4 linked regions of the Saccharomyces cerevisiae S288C genome follow. The gene in region 3 interacts genetically with the main gene of each other region. Each region holds a gene or a part of one and is shown on either strand. Other genes may lie near its edges.

The links.
Region 1: mutations in SRL2 (region 3) and YOL159C-A together harm fitness more than expected from each alone (negative genetic interaction), as found in Saccharomyces cerevisiae (one large-scale study listed by BioGRID).
Region 2: mutations in SRL2 (region 3) and XPT1 together harm fitness less than expected from each alone (positive genetic interaction), as found in Saccharomyces cerevisiae (one large-scale study listed by BioGRID).
Region 4: mutations in SRL2 (region 3) and USV1 together harm fitness less than expected from each alone (positive genetic interaction), as found in Saccharomyces cerevisiae (one large-scale study listed by BioGRID).

Annotation. Positions count from the first base shown.
Region 1 is NC_001147.6:14,714-17,332, forward strand, and holds YOL159C-A (uncharacterized protein), read right to left. Parts: upstream 793-2,619; coding exon 520-792; downstream 1-519. Other genes in the region: CSS3 (Css3p), read right to left, coding at 2,568-2,619.
Region 2 is NC_001142.9:671,250-674,147, forward strand, and holds XPT1 (xanthine phosphoribosyltransferase), read left to right. Parts: upstream 1-1,741; coding exon 1,742-2,371; downstream 2,372-2,898. Other genes in the region: NMD5 (Nmd5p), read left to right, coding at 1-1,419; SGM1 (Sgm1p), read right to left, coding at 2,480-2,898. UniProt on the Saccharomyces cerevisiae protein: May act as a xanthine phosphoribosyltransferase involved in the synthesis of purine nucleotides. Such activity is however unclear in vivo.
Region 3 is NC_001144.5:291,865-295,397, reverse strand, and holds SRL2 (Srl2p), read left to right. Parts: upstream 1-1,825; coding exon 1,826-3,004; downstream 3,005-3,533. Other genes in the region: EMP70 (Emp70p), read left to right, coding at 1-1,307; galactose permease GAL2, read right to left, coding at 3,462-3,533.
Region 4 is NC_001148.4:113,553-117,014, reverse strand, and holds USV1 (Usv1p), read right to left. Parts: upstream 1,704-3,462; coding exon 528-1,703; downstream 1-527. Other genes in the region: trifunctional fatty acid synthase subunit FAS2, read right to left, coding at 2,700-3,462. UniProt on the Saccharomyces cerevisiae protein: Transcription factor that participates in the transcriptional activation of glucose-repressed genes during exponential growth in non-fermentable carbon conditions. Also involved in salt-stress response.

The sequences.
Region 1 (2,619 bases), on a different chromosome or scaffold from region 3:
TTAATACGTTCTTGCTTGTATACTATCCCACTTTATATATATTACCTAAACTTTATTATTTAAAGCTCATCATGGTGGTCATGGCCACCGTAACATTGATTATTAAAGCAGCATCCACTCTCAAATCCCTCTTTTTGGACAGCGCGTTTGGATCCACACCACTCTTCACAGCAAACATGACCATTCTTCTCTGTGCACGTTTTAATGCATGAATAGCCCTTTCCACCGCAATTGTGTGCAGATGAATAGCCGAGCGATTTACCGCAATCAGTACAACCTCCAGTCGAGATACGATACCTTGCGTTAAGACACCCTTTTCCTCTTTTTAGCATTTCTTGGTTGACTTGTTGGCGAAGAAAAGAAAAGTCGGCGTCAAGAATATTAATTTTGGTAACGTTTGTATCAAAGCCAATGGTAGTACCATTGAATTCAGTTATGATTAGATTGATAGTACCATTGGTTTGCTGTAAGTTTACTGAGTCGACAACAGAGCTAGCATACGCATGAATCTCGGTCTGATTACTGTCGAGGGTTCCAGCATGAACGCAAGATTATACCGTCGCCAACAAGCTCATTAATATCGTGACCATGTTTTTTGAATTCATCTTCATAATACAAAAGTAATCTCTTATTTTCTAGTGTCCTTTTGGTGATATGTAAAGTATAACAATATATCTTCTCTTCAAACTGTGAAGGATTTAGAAACTTTATAAAGACAAAGTCGGAGAAATTCTCTTCACAATATACTGTATCCAGCCACTGCCCTGATAAATCGAGTTCACAGTATTGCATATGTGCAGTGATTCCACAAATGGTATTGGTTTGGTCCCAAACTCGACAAAACAAAGAAACTAGCAGCGTATATATAGTACTTATTCTATGGGGCTATTCATTTAATATTTAATCTGTCTGACCTGGCATTCTGCAAACTGTCGGTAGGAAATTACGCGATCAATAAAATTCCTGTTGATGGGAGGGAGAAGACAAGCGAACTCTACGCTTTAAGCAGAGCTGGTGGAAAAACACCATAATAATCCGAGGCAGCAGTTACGCTAAATGGAAAGAAATCGTTAAAAATAAGGGGCAGGCAGGTGTGCTGCTGAAAAGGTAAATGAAAACCAGTGAGTACACTTCTGCATGGATTTTTTTGGCAACAAATCAACGAAAAAAATACTCACAGCTTCCGAATAAGACGGCTTTCCATCAGTATTATTAGAGAATTATGTGGCTGTAACCTTGCTGTTTTTACACTCGTTCCAAGTAAAAAATGCTCATCTTACCATTTTAGATAGAAAAAAAAAATCCTACCTGCCATTTCTAGTCAGCAGAATCTTTACAACATATTGCGAATTTTCTTCAATATTGGTTTATTTTAAGTGTTTGATAGAGTTTGGAGTTCAATAATTTACGCTTGATGCTTAAGTTATTTTTAGTAATGGCACGATAATTAATGCTGTTGTTACTCCCTTATATGATACTACGCGGTAAATCATCATTATACGGAAACCTTTAGATATAGTGCTGTCAACTGGAATTATTATATGGGAAATAACAATTTGTGCATTTTGCATTGAACAGCTCAGGAGAAGAATTAAGTGTAAATTTGGGAGTTTGCTTTCAAATCACCGCCCTGAAAGTGAAGCAACAATCTTGAAGCCTGCTGTATTGGAAGCATTGGAATATACGTCACTCCCTGAACATCTTGAATCTTTTTTTTATTGCTAGCTACAGCTTCAGTTAATTTTGTCACCTTAGACTACCAATTGTTTTATTTTGTATCTTTGGTATGATAATCTTATTCCGTCTCGTATTATACTTGTCCTGTTATGATCTCTCGAAGCAAGTTCTAAGAACTTGTGAGTTTTATAATACTCCTAGGTTTAGCCACTTTCCAAAGATAGAGCAATCTTTTTGGAATTGAAATGTCAGAGGGATGATTCTGACGATAGACATTTTTCTGATGAACTGTTGCGTACGCACGCATAAAAACAGTATAACTTTAGGTGGTAGCGGTAGTGTCGACTTTTATTGGAATGAGAATTAACTATCATATATCGACTAGTATCCATAGTACGTGTATATTATCGTATACAACGTAAGAAAGACATAAATATTGAGAAACAGTCAACGATTTTAGTAGAGGTTGAAACGCGAGGCTTGATAATTTCATGGGATAATGAATGACGGTATATAAAATGAAAGAAGATGTAATAATATTCATTATCATTCAAACTTTATCTCAGCCCATCCTCATCTTTTTCAGTACTGTATGTGAACTCGTCCACAAACACCGTATAGCTACGTCCTCTTTCATTTTCAGGTATGTATCAGCTTCTTGCATCACGCCACCACTAGCACAACGAAAGTATACAATACAATGTCATTAACCCTAGATGCTGTTGTTCCTCGATGTTGTGTATACATACATTAACTCGAAAGTGCGATGTTAATGATGTCCCAGTGCTATATAATAAATCTACAAACTAAAAAATCTTGATCACATCAACCAAAAATGTATCTTACTGCTAAATGTGTCATAAAAGGGTTCCAGTATCCTTACTACACCATTATATAGAAGACTCTTTATAATTTCTTCCGTCAGAATAATTACTTATCAAT
Region 2 (2,898 bases), on a different chromosome or scaffold from region 3:
GATTTTGAATCTGATGTCATTTCAGGCGTTATGCAAGATTTTGTGGAGCAGTTTGCTGAGCAATTACAACCTTTTGGTGTTGAATTAATGAACACTTTGGTCCAACAGTTTTTGAAATTAGCTATTGATCTGCATGAAACATCCAATTTGGATCCAGATTCCTTCACGAACGTTGATAGCATACCCGATGAATCTGACAAGCAAATGGCGGCGCTAGGTATTTTGTCGACTACGATATCTATTCTGTTGTCTTTTGAGAATTCACCTGAAATTTTAAAAAACTTGGAACAGTCATTTTATCCAGCTGCAGAGTTTATTTTGAAAAACGACATCGAAGATTTCTATCGCGAATGTTGCGAATTTGTAGAGAACTCTACATTCCTACTAAGAGATATCACACCCATCAGCTGGAAAATTTTGGAGCTGATTGGAGAATGTAATAGAAAACCAGATAGTATGGTATCTTATTATTTAAGTGATTTCATGCTAGCCTTAAATAATATCCTCATTTATGGAAGGAACGAATTAAAGAAGAACGAGTTTTACACAAAAATCATATTCGAAATATATCAAAAGGCTGTTACTGCAGAAGATAATTCGTTAGACGATCTTAGAGTGGTTTTTGATTTATCCCAAGAGTTGGTTCTTGCATTAGATGACAGTTTACCTCAACAATACAGAGAGCGCCTACTGGCGGATGTTGTCGGCTCTATTCTAACGCAAAAGAATGAATTGAAAACTAATGTTGTATTTAGTGTGACTGCTTTTAATGTCGTAATCTCAAATATGATAACAGAGCCTTTGATCACGCTTCAGTACCTGAAACAGCAAGGTTGTCTTGAAATCTTCTTTCAAACGTGGATTACAGACTATATTCCGAATTATAAAAGGTGCTATGATATCAAATTATCAGTTCTTGCGTTATTAAAAATTATACTGAAGTTAGAAAGCAACGATTATTCAGTGTTGAACTTAGAAAATTTGGTTCCGCAATTAGGGAGTATTGTTACGCAGTTAGCTTCGAGGCTACCAACGGCGTTAAGGCAATTAGCTAACCAACGCAAGGAATTCTCATCATCCGGTTTTGAAGAGGATACTAAGTGGGATGAAAATTTTCTTGACGTTGGAGACGATGATGAAAATGATGACGAGGGAGACCTTACTGAGAAATATCTGGAACTGATAAAAAATAGAGCCGATTCCTTGGACTTCGTAGATGGTTATGACGCAAAGGAAACTTTCGATGACCTAGAAGAGGACCCATTAACGGGGTCGATCCTGGACACAGTTGACGTATACAAGGTTTTCAAGGAGTCCATTGCGAACTTACAACATGTTGACAGCAATAGATATCAGGGAATCTTGAGACATCTGACCCCGGCTGATCAAGAACTATTCATGGGAATTATGAATGCCTAATTGAATTAAATGGCGATTGTATATTGAAACAAACACTGGATTACATAATTTAGATAGAAGAGAGAGGATATTATGCTCAAAGTTTGTTGCCTTTGCCTCGGCCAGTTGACTTTGATTTGATATCAAGATCTTTTTTTTTTATCTGGAGTCAATGCGATGAACCTAAAAAAATCACAAGCTTTTTTTATCTCTAAGCTGGGGAAAGAATCGTAGTTAAATCGGAAAGAAAAATATCTGAGTTTTGTCAGTCTTTCTTTTGCATAGCCCATCCTTGTACTAGATTTCATAAACATTGATCACTTCAAAATATACTTGTACCAAGATGGCCGAAAATGAGAGAATGTACATCTCCTATAATAATATTCACAAGCTTTGTCAGGGAGTGGCTAAACATATCTTAGCTAGAAACGAAAGACCTGATATTATTATCGCCATCACTGGTGGTGGTATGATCCCCGCAAGAATTATTAGGTCCTTTTTGAAAACTAAAGGACAAAAGAATATTCCGATTCAGGCCATCGGCCTATCTTTGTATGAAGATTTAGGGTTGGATAATAGCGTCGAAACTATCGGCAAAGAGGTCATCAGAACACAATGGCTGGACTTCGGTGCTTTGAACCAACATTTCGATTCCTTAATTGGTAAAAAGGTCCTAATTGTGGATGAAGTTGACGATACTAGAACTACCCTCCACTATGCTGTTTCTGAGCTGGAAAAAGAGATTGCTGAACAACAAAAGGTTTTGAATAGAATGAGTGAGGAAACCGTTATTTCTATCTTTGTTCTACATAATAAGGACAAACCAAAGAGAGCTGGACTACCTGACTCCATGATGAATTCTGGACGTTACATTGCTGCGCAAACTGTCCCTGATAAGTGGTTGTGCTATCCATGGGACGCTGAAGATATCGAAGAACATACCATGCTCGCTAAGGCTCAAGGTCATGACTGATGACAAACAGTATGTTGCGATGGGGTTGCATGTATATAGATACATATAGTTATCATTGGTAATTATTTCATATTTAACCTAAATCTAAAGATAAGAGTGTATTTCTAGTTATCTCATTTTTCCTTGCATTTCTACCATTTGTTGAACTTGTTGATGCATCATCTCTTTTAAATCGGACACATCATTTTCTAATTCCTCCACTTGTTCAGTCTTTTCACCTAATAGTTGTAAGGAGGTTTCCAATTTACTTTGCATCTGCTCAACTCTTTTTAAGAGATCATCTTTCTGTTTATTTACCTCATTGAATTTATCGTTTTCTTCCAGAAGTCTTAAAATCTCATCATTTGCTTTTGTCTTTTCTTTCAGTAAATTATCGTATAATTCCTTTGATGCTGATAATTCACCTTCCAATCTTTTTAACTCCGTACTTAACTTGTTCACCAGATGAGCGCTTATGTGGCCGTTAGAATTCGATAGCTGGACGCTAGCTCTTCTGTATGGTATTGATGTGTTGTTTAACGAGTTCA
Region 3 (3,533 bases):
AAGGTAACTATCGTGTAGTTGGTGTTATCGTCGAACCGGTTTCCATAAAACGTTCCAGTCCAGGTACATGTGAAACGACTGGCAGCCCATTGATGCTAGACGAAGGAAATGATAATGAAGTTTATTTTACTTATTCCGTTAAATTCAATGAATCAGCGACTTCTTGGGCCACCAGGTGGGACAAATATTTACACGTATATGATCCTTCTATTCAATGGTTTTCTTTGATAAATTTCTCCTTAGTTGTTGTCTTATTGTCATCTGTTGTTATCCATTCGCTATTGCGCGCACTGAAAAGTGATTTCGCACGTTACAACGAGTTAAATTTGGACGATGATTTTCAAGAAGATTCGGGTTGGAAATTGAATCATGGTGATGTTTTTCGTTCGCCAAGTCAATCGCTAACCCTTTCAATTTTGGTTGGTTCAGGAGTTCAATTATTTTTGATGGTAACTTGCAGTATCTTCTTCGCTGCATTGGGTTTCCTATCACCTAGTTCTAGAGGTTCCTTAGCCACTGTTATGTTTATCTTATATGCATTATTCGGGTTTGTCGGCTCTTATACATCTATGGGCATCTACAAATTTTTCAATGGGCCATACTGGAAGGCAAACTTGATATTGACTCCACTTCTAGTTCCTGGTGCTATTCTGCTAATAATTATTGCGTTGAACTTTTTCTTAATGTTTGTTCATTCTTCTGGTGTCATACCAGCAAGTACTCTGTTTTTTATGGTTTTTCTATGGTTTTTGTTCTCAATCCCATTATCATTTGCTGGTTCATTGATTGCCAGGAAAAGATGTCACTGGGATGAACATCCAACCAAGACAAACCAAATCGCAAGACAAATACCCTTCCAGCCTTGGTATTTAAAGACTATACCAGCTACTTTGATTGCTGGTATCTTTCCATTTGGCTCCATCGCCGTTGAGTTGTATTTCATATACACAAGTTTATGGTTTAATAAGATTTTTTACATGTTTGGTTTCCTCTTTTTCTCTTTCCTCCTATTAACTTTGACAAGTTCACTCGTCACTATTTTGATCACTTATCATTCCTTATGCCTGGAGAACTGGAAGTGGCAATGGAGAGGATTCATAATTGGAGGCGCCGGTTGTGCTTTGTATGTGTTTATTCATTCTATTTTATTCACCAAATTTAAGTTGGGTGGATTCACGACTATTGTCTTATACGTGGGATACTCCTCAGTCATTTCATTACTCTGCTGTTTGGTAACGGGGTCAATTGGCTTTATCAGCAGTATGCTCTTTGTTAGAAAAATCTACTCATCCATTAAAGTTGACTAGGCCAACGAAAAAGAGGTCCTATATGTTGGGTTAGGGCGTTTTTTATTTATTTCTCTACTGTTTATCTTTTTTAACAAAGAAAATGCTAGGCCCTATGGCCTTTGGACATGATACATAGTTTTTAGTAATATTTTTTTCAAAAAGATTAAAAGTACTATAGGATTCGAAGTTGTAATTTTTGGTGTATATACATTTATTTATTTGAATCTTTTTTCCATGATTCTGGAATGACATTCTGCGTTACAGTTTGGGAATAAATGCTCCTTTAAGGAAATAATATACAGCTTTAGTGTACAGGGTTAATCTATAGCCACATTAAAAGGACTTGATTATGACTTAAAATAAGTGACACTGACGCTTTAATATTCAGTCCGGGTGATGCTGTCATCTAGGACAAAACAATGGGAGTGGATAAGTAAGCAAGTAATAAGATAAAACAGTATTAGAAATTGGTAGTAGGCTGAAGCTTGTTGAAGCTGGTGGACAGAAAAACGCTTATATTGTGAAGATCCTTTTGGATGTCCAACTTTAAGAATTTTACTTTAAATTCCTTTGAAGATTATTACGGAAAGCCCTCTGAAACGCCAAAAATGGAGGAAGAGAAATTGGAAGTAACAAATGTGAATGCGTCCTCTTCAAAAAAAGTACATAAAAGCAAAAAGAGCACTTCAAAATATGACCAAAAGAATGTATTTAGAAACTCAATGACAGGAATTGCACAAATACTGCCAACAAAACCTGTGAAAATTATAGAGCAGAATATTGATTTTGCCAATCCGAAGAGCTTCGACCTCCTGCAATCTACACATACTATTTGCTTTAATAAAAGAATTAACACTACTAATACCAAGTTGAATGTGGAAACTCATACTTCTAGTGATATTGACAACGACATATTGCACGTTGGAGCCCCCACAGACTTGGGGGGAAACAGTAATGACGAAGCGGAAACAAGGCAACTAAGGAAGTTTCGATGGTCCAATAATAAAGAAAAAAGTCTTTGTGAAAAGTTAACAGTCATATATTGGGCCCTCTTGCTCCACACAACAAAGAGAGCAAGTAAAAGGAGACCTATATTATGTCATCAAATGATAGCTGAGTTTTTTAACAGAGTTTATAAGGAGAAATCAAGAGTACCTATAACTTCAAGATATATTAGAGATAACCTCGTCGCTTGGGTCACTCAAGGAAAGGAATTGCATGAAAAAGGTTGGGTAGGGGATGCCAAAACTGGCGATTTGCAAGAACAGTTCAATATAGCCACTGTCAAATTATATGAAAGCGCAGAAGACGGGCGTCTTTCCATTGGTAAAGACAAACCCTTTCGAGAGGAAAACACCGGCAGTGATAGTTTGGTTCGAGCGGAAGAGGACTCTACCGCTGTCACTAATGAAAATGGACATATTTCTTCAGAAAAAAACTTGAAAAAAGATCGTAGAGAGTCTATAAGGAACCAAATCCTGACTTTAGACCTAAATGACGAAGATTTTTTCCAAAATGTAATGAAAGTTTTATCAGCCATTGATGAACCAGAACTGAGACAATATGTAATCGTAATCTCAGAATTAGTTAGCATGGAAATGGATGATGGTAAAACGGTACGAGAAAAGCTCCGAGACGTTGAATTGAATATTAATAGGTTGCAGGTTGATATAAAAGAAATAAAGGAAATGCTTGTTACACTGATAAACAAATGACTGAAAAAAGCAACTCCTGGATCGTTCGAACATTCTCACTCCATTAATTGTATGTTAGCTCAGGAATTCAACTGGAAGAAAGTCCAGGCAAGTACCTGACTTATTTTCTAGAGGACCCCCCAGAGATAAGTCTGGTGATGTGGTCCTTTAATAATTTCATAGGGACAATTCATTTTGCGTTTTTAATTTTGCTCGGTGAACAAAGGATGGCAGAGCATGTTATCGTTTTCTTTTTTTTTTCCTGTTTTAGAGAAAAAGGTTATATATGTAATAATACTCTGATATATGTACACAAATAATAGGTTTAGGTAAGGAATTTATATAATCGTAAGGATATCATTGATAAGGGAAATTTTTTTTTTTTTTTTTCAAACAAATACTATGATAATTAAAATGAAGAAAAAACGTCAGTCATGAAAAATTAAGAGAGATGATGGAGCGTCTCACTTCAAACGCATTATTCTAGCATGGCCTTGTACCACGGTTTGTCGTCATGTTGTAAATCCTCTAAATCGTAATTATTACCTCT
Region 4 (3,462 bases), on a different chromosome or scaffold from region 3:
GAAAAAGCGTCATCTTGTCAGTGAAATGAGATAAAAAGCTTCTTTCTTTTCTTTTTCTTATTATTGCAATTAACGGGGGTCCGGGTGAGCGTAAGGGCGAGATAACCATGGCGGTATAGGTGTATATGATCAAGTTTTGAAGTCAAGATGCAGGATTGTTCGTTCCGTATTCACAATCCACCGTTAGTGTTACATCGTAGTTTTTGATGCTACTGTGGGCTGTGTAAAGCAGACGCGGGAGTTTAAAATTAAGTTTTGCGGTTATTTCTCGTTGATCAACGCAAGAGGTCAGAAAGCCCTTTATGCAAGGGATTTTTTCTTGCAATTGCATCTTATCATTTTTGTAGCACTGATTATACATAGCTTGACTCATTTGAAAAATTTTATAAACTGCATTTAGTATGGAACAAAACATAAAAATAAAAAAAGATGCGCACCATAATTTGTTTGCGCATATTAAGAATTATATTAGTTGTAAGATATTTATACTCTACGGAATATTTGAAACTTAGATCAGATTGCCTCGATCAAGTCAATATGTAATCAACACTAAGCCTTTTCTTATTGGTGTTGACCGAAATATCAGACTCTGATAAAGTTTCCGACCTCTTTTTGTTATTATTATCATTGCGATCATCAGTATTCTTGAAATTTTCTCCCCCTTTGCCGCCATTCTTCGAGGAAGACATATTATTGTTTTTATTTCCATTTGGTGGTTGGCTAAATGCCTGCTGATACTGTGGTAAAATAATTGGTTTTGCTTCAGCAACTGTCGTTGACGGAGAAAACGGCGGGGAGAATGAATCAAGATGGTTATTGATATTACTAGTATTGACATTGATATTGCTTGGTCTAATATTGTATTTGTTCATAGTTGTCCGTGCTTGAAAGTCGGCAGAATCTTTATATTTGAAGGAAGTACTTGGCATGGACCTCGGAGGAAAGGACGATATGATTACCTCAGAGGCCGGATGGCTCGTTGAGGAGGGGCTCACATTCAAAGGATACTGCACATCTACTGATGGTAAATAATTGATGGTGTTATTATTACTGGGAAGAGGATACTGGTAGTAACTATCAGTGATTGGATGGGAAGGAAAATAATAGGGAGCCTGTTGATGCTGTTGTTGTTGGTGTTGTTGCTGTCGTTGGGTATTATAAATGGACCTTGGAGAGATGGGTGGGATGCTTCTCGTGCTAGTAATGAACTCCGGCGAAGAATGTATTATTTGGGGCGCTTTTTCGTTTTCTGCCATCATCGGCATGTTCCCGCTATTAATATTAGTTTTCCTGTAAGGATCACTATATGATGTAGATGATGAAGCAGAAGACGAAGAAGATGCAGAAGAAGAGGAGGATAAAGATGAAGAGGAAGGCTTACGCTGGTGCGAGCTGGTAGAATGGTGGTTTTTATGTGCATGGACCGATTCCCGATGCTGTTTCAAATTATCAACTCTACTGAAGAATTTCAAACATGCAGGACACTGGAACGGCTTTTCACCAGTGTGCTTTCTTATATGACGTGCAAGATGTTCCGCTCTAGTGAAGGACATCGTACAACCGTCATATCCGGTGCATTTGAACGTTTTCCTTCGAGCACTTTTGGACCTCTTCGGAGTTGATGCCGCTACACTATTGGTGGCAAAGTTACCATTGCTGCTCGTAAGAACGCCTGCAGTATTACGATTCGTGGTATTTTCCATTTCGTGTTTTTTTCTTATCTTATCACAGTATTATTTATGTGTTAGTAAAAAAAGCTAAGCCAGTAAGTCGCTCCAGATTTTTTCTTTACATACATGGTTAATGAAGCTGTTGCAAAATACTGCAGCCAAGAACTCCTGTCTCTTTCAAAACAAGACGAAACTTTATCTGCCGGGATGAATAAGAATTAATCAAAATTATAGGCAATAAGAGTGGATTGAGATTGTTATATACGGAAGACTGTTGAACGGTTAAGGGGGAAGCCGTGAAGGAGCAAACAAATCTTGAAAAAGAAAACATTTTCTAAAAAAAAATAGAGGGGATAAATAAGGCCCTTAGGGGGACTCAACGGCGGAGAATTCGAAAGCCAAAGGATGCTTCCCACCGCTAAGCCAGGGCGAACGGCAGCGGCGATCGAGGATGCTGGTTCTTTAAGGGCACTCGTCCACCTTCGCGATTTTTCTCTTCCCTGAGTATTTGGCAGAGGCGATCAAGGGGTGGCTCACACAACCAGTCGCAGGAGCGTCGCGCATCGGGTATTAGACCCTATTCTGTACACCACAGCCTTCCAGCCCCTTGCCCCACGCGATTGGTGTAAACAATAGATGGCAGTAATCGTTGAGACAACATAACTACCGGCCGTCCCTGACCCTTTCCCCTCCTCACGGTAGAGACAACAACCACGGGAGGAATAAAAACCGGTGCTGGGCCAGCCGATATCGTAAAAGCCTAATTACCCCAGAGCTGCTACGCGGACTTCTATTCTTCCACGCGTCAATATGCCCCCGCGCGAATTTGTGTGGGCCGACCAAATAGAAGAATTGAACGGTGTGTACGCTCAGGGCCATATGATTATAGACGTACACAATGATTAGGCCAGATCGAAATCAGAGGCTAAAGTAAGGAAACGATAGAAAAATAACAAAGTAATTACTATTATGTCTGATAAATAGAAGCGACACGTTACATATTAAAAGAGGGACTACGTAGTGCTCTCTCTATTTCTTAGTAGAAACGGCGACCGCGACAGCTTGGAGGTCATCGTGAGAAATAGATACCTTCACATCGGTAACACCAGCTTCTTCGGCAGCCTTTTTGGCGTTACCGTGCAGTTCAACGGCTGGAGCGTTTTTGTTAACGCGTACGATTTCGATGTCTTTCAATGCAGCACCACCGCCTAAGGACTTGACGCCTAAGGACTTGAAAACAGCCTCTTTGGCGGACCATGTCCCAGCGAAAGAGCTTTGCACACTAGGCTGCGCGCTGCAGTACTCTATTTCTTGCGGGGTGAAATTGCGCTCGATAAAAGTATCATTTTCAACGTTGATGCTAGTGATTAATTCAACATCTACACCGACGCCACCGTTAGAGACTTTCTCCTTGGTCATGTTTTCAATCATCTTGGCAGTTTCAATGGTGTTAGCATTGATGTAACTGTCCTTGCTTTGGATGTTTTTAGAGTTGAAAGTCAAGGAGCCTGATTTCTTATCCTTAGATACACGGGCTAATGGGTCCAAGTAAACATCCTCTTCCAATTCATCAGTGTATGGAGCATGCTCTTTACTTACGAACAACTTGTTGTAGATCATACCATTATGGAAGAATTTGTAGGCACTTTTCTCTCTGGCACTAACCTTGGCGACATACTCGTTGTATCTGTCTTCAGTGATAGCACCGTATAAGTAGTCTGGATGAACCACAATAGCTTGACCACCCTTTTGACCAAAACCGAAAGAAGTGATGGACACGGCTCTGACACCG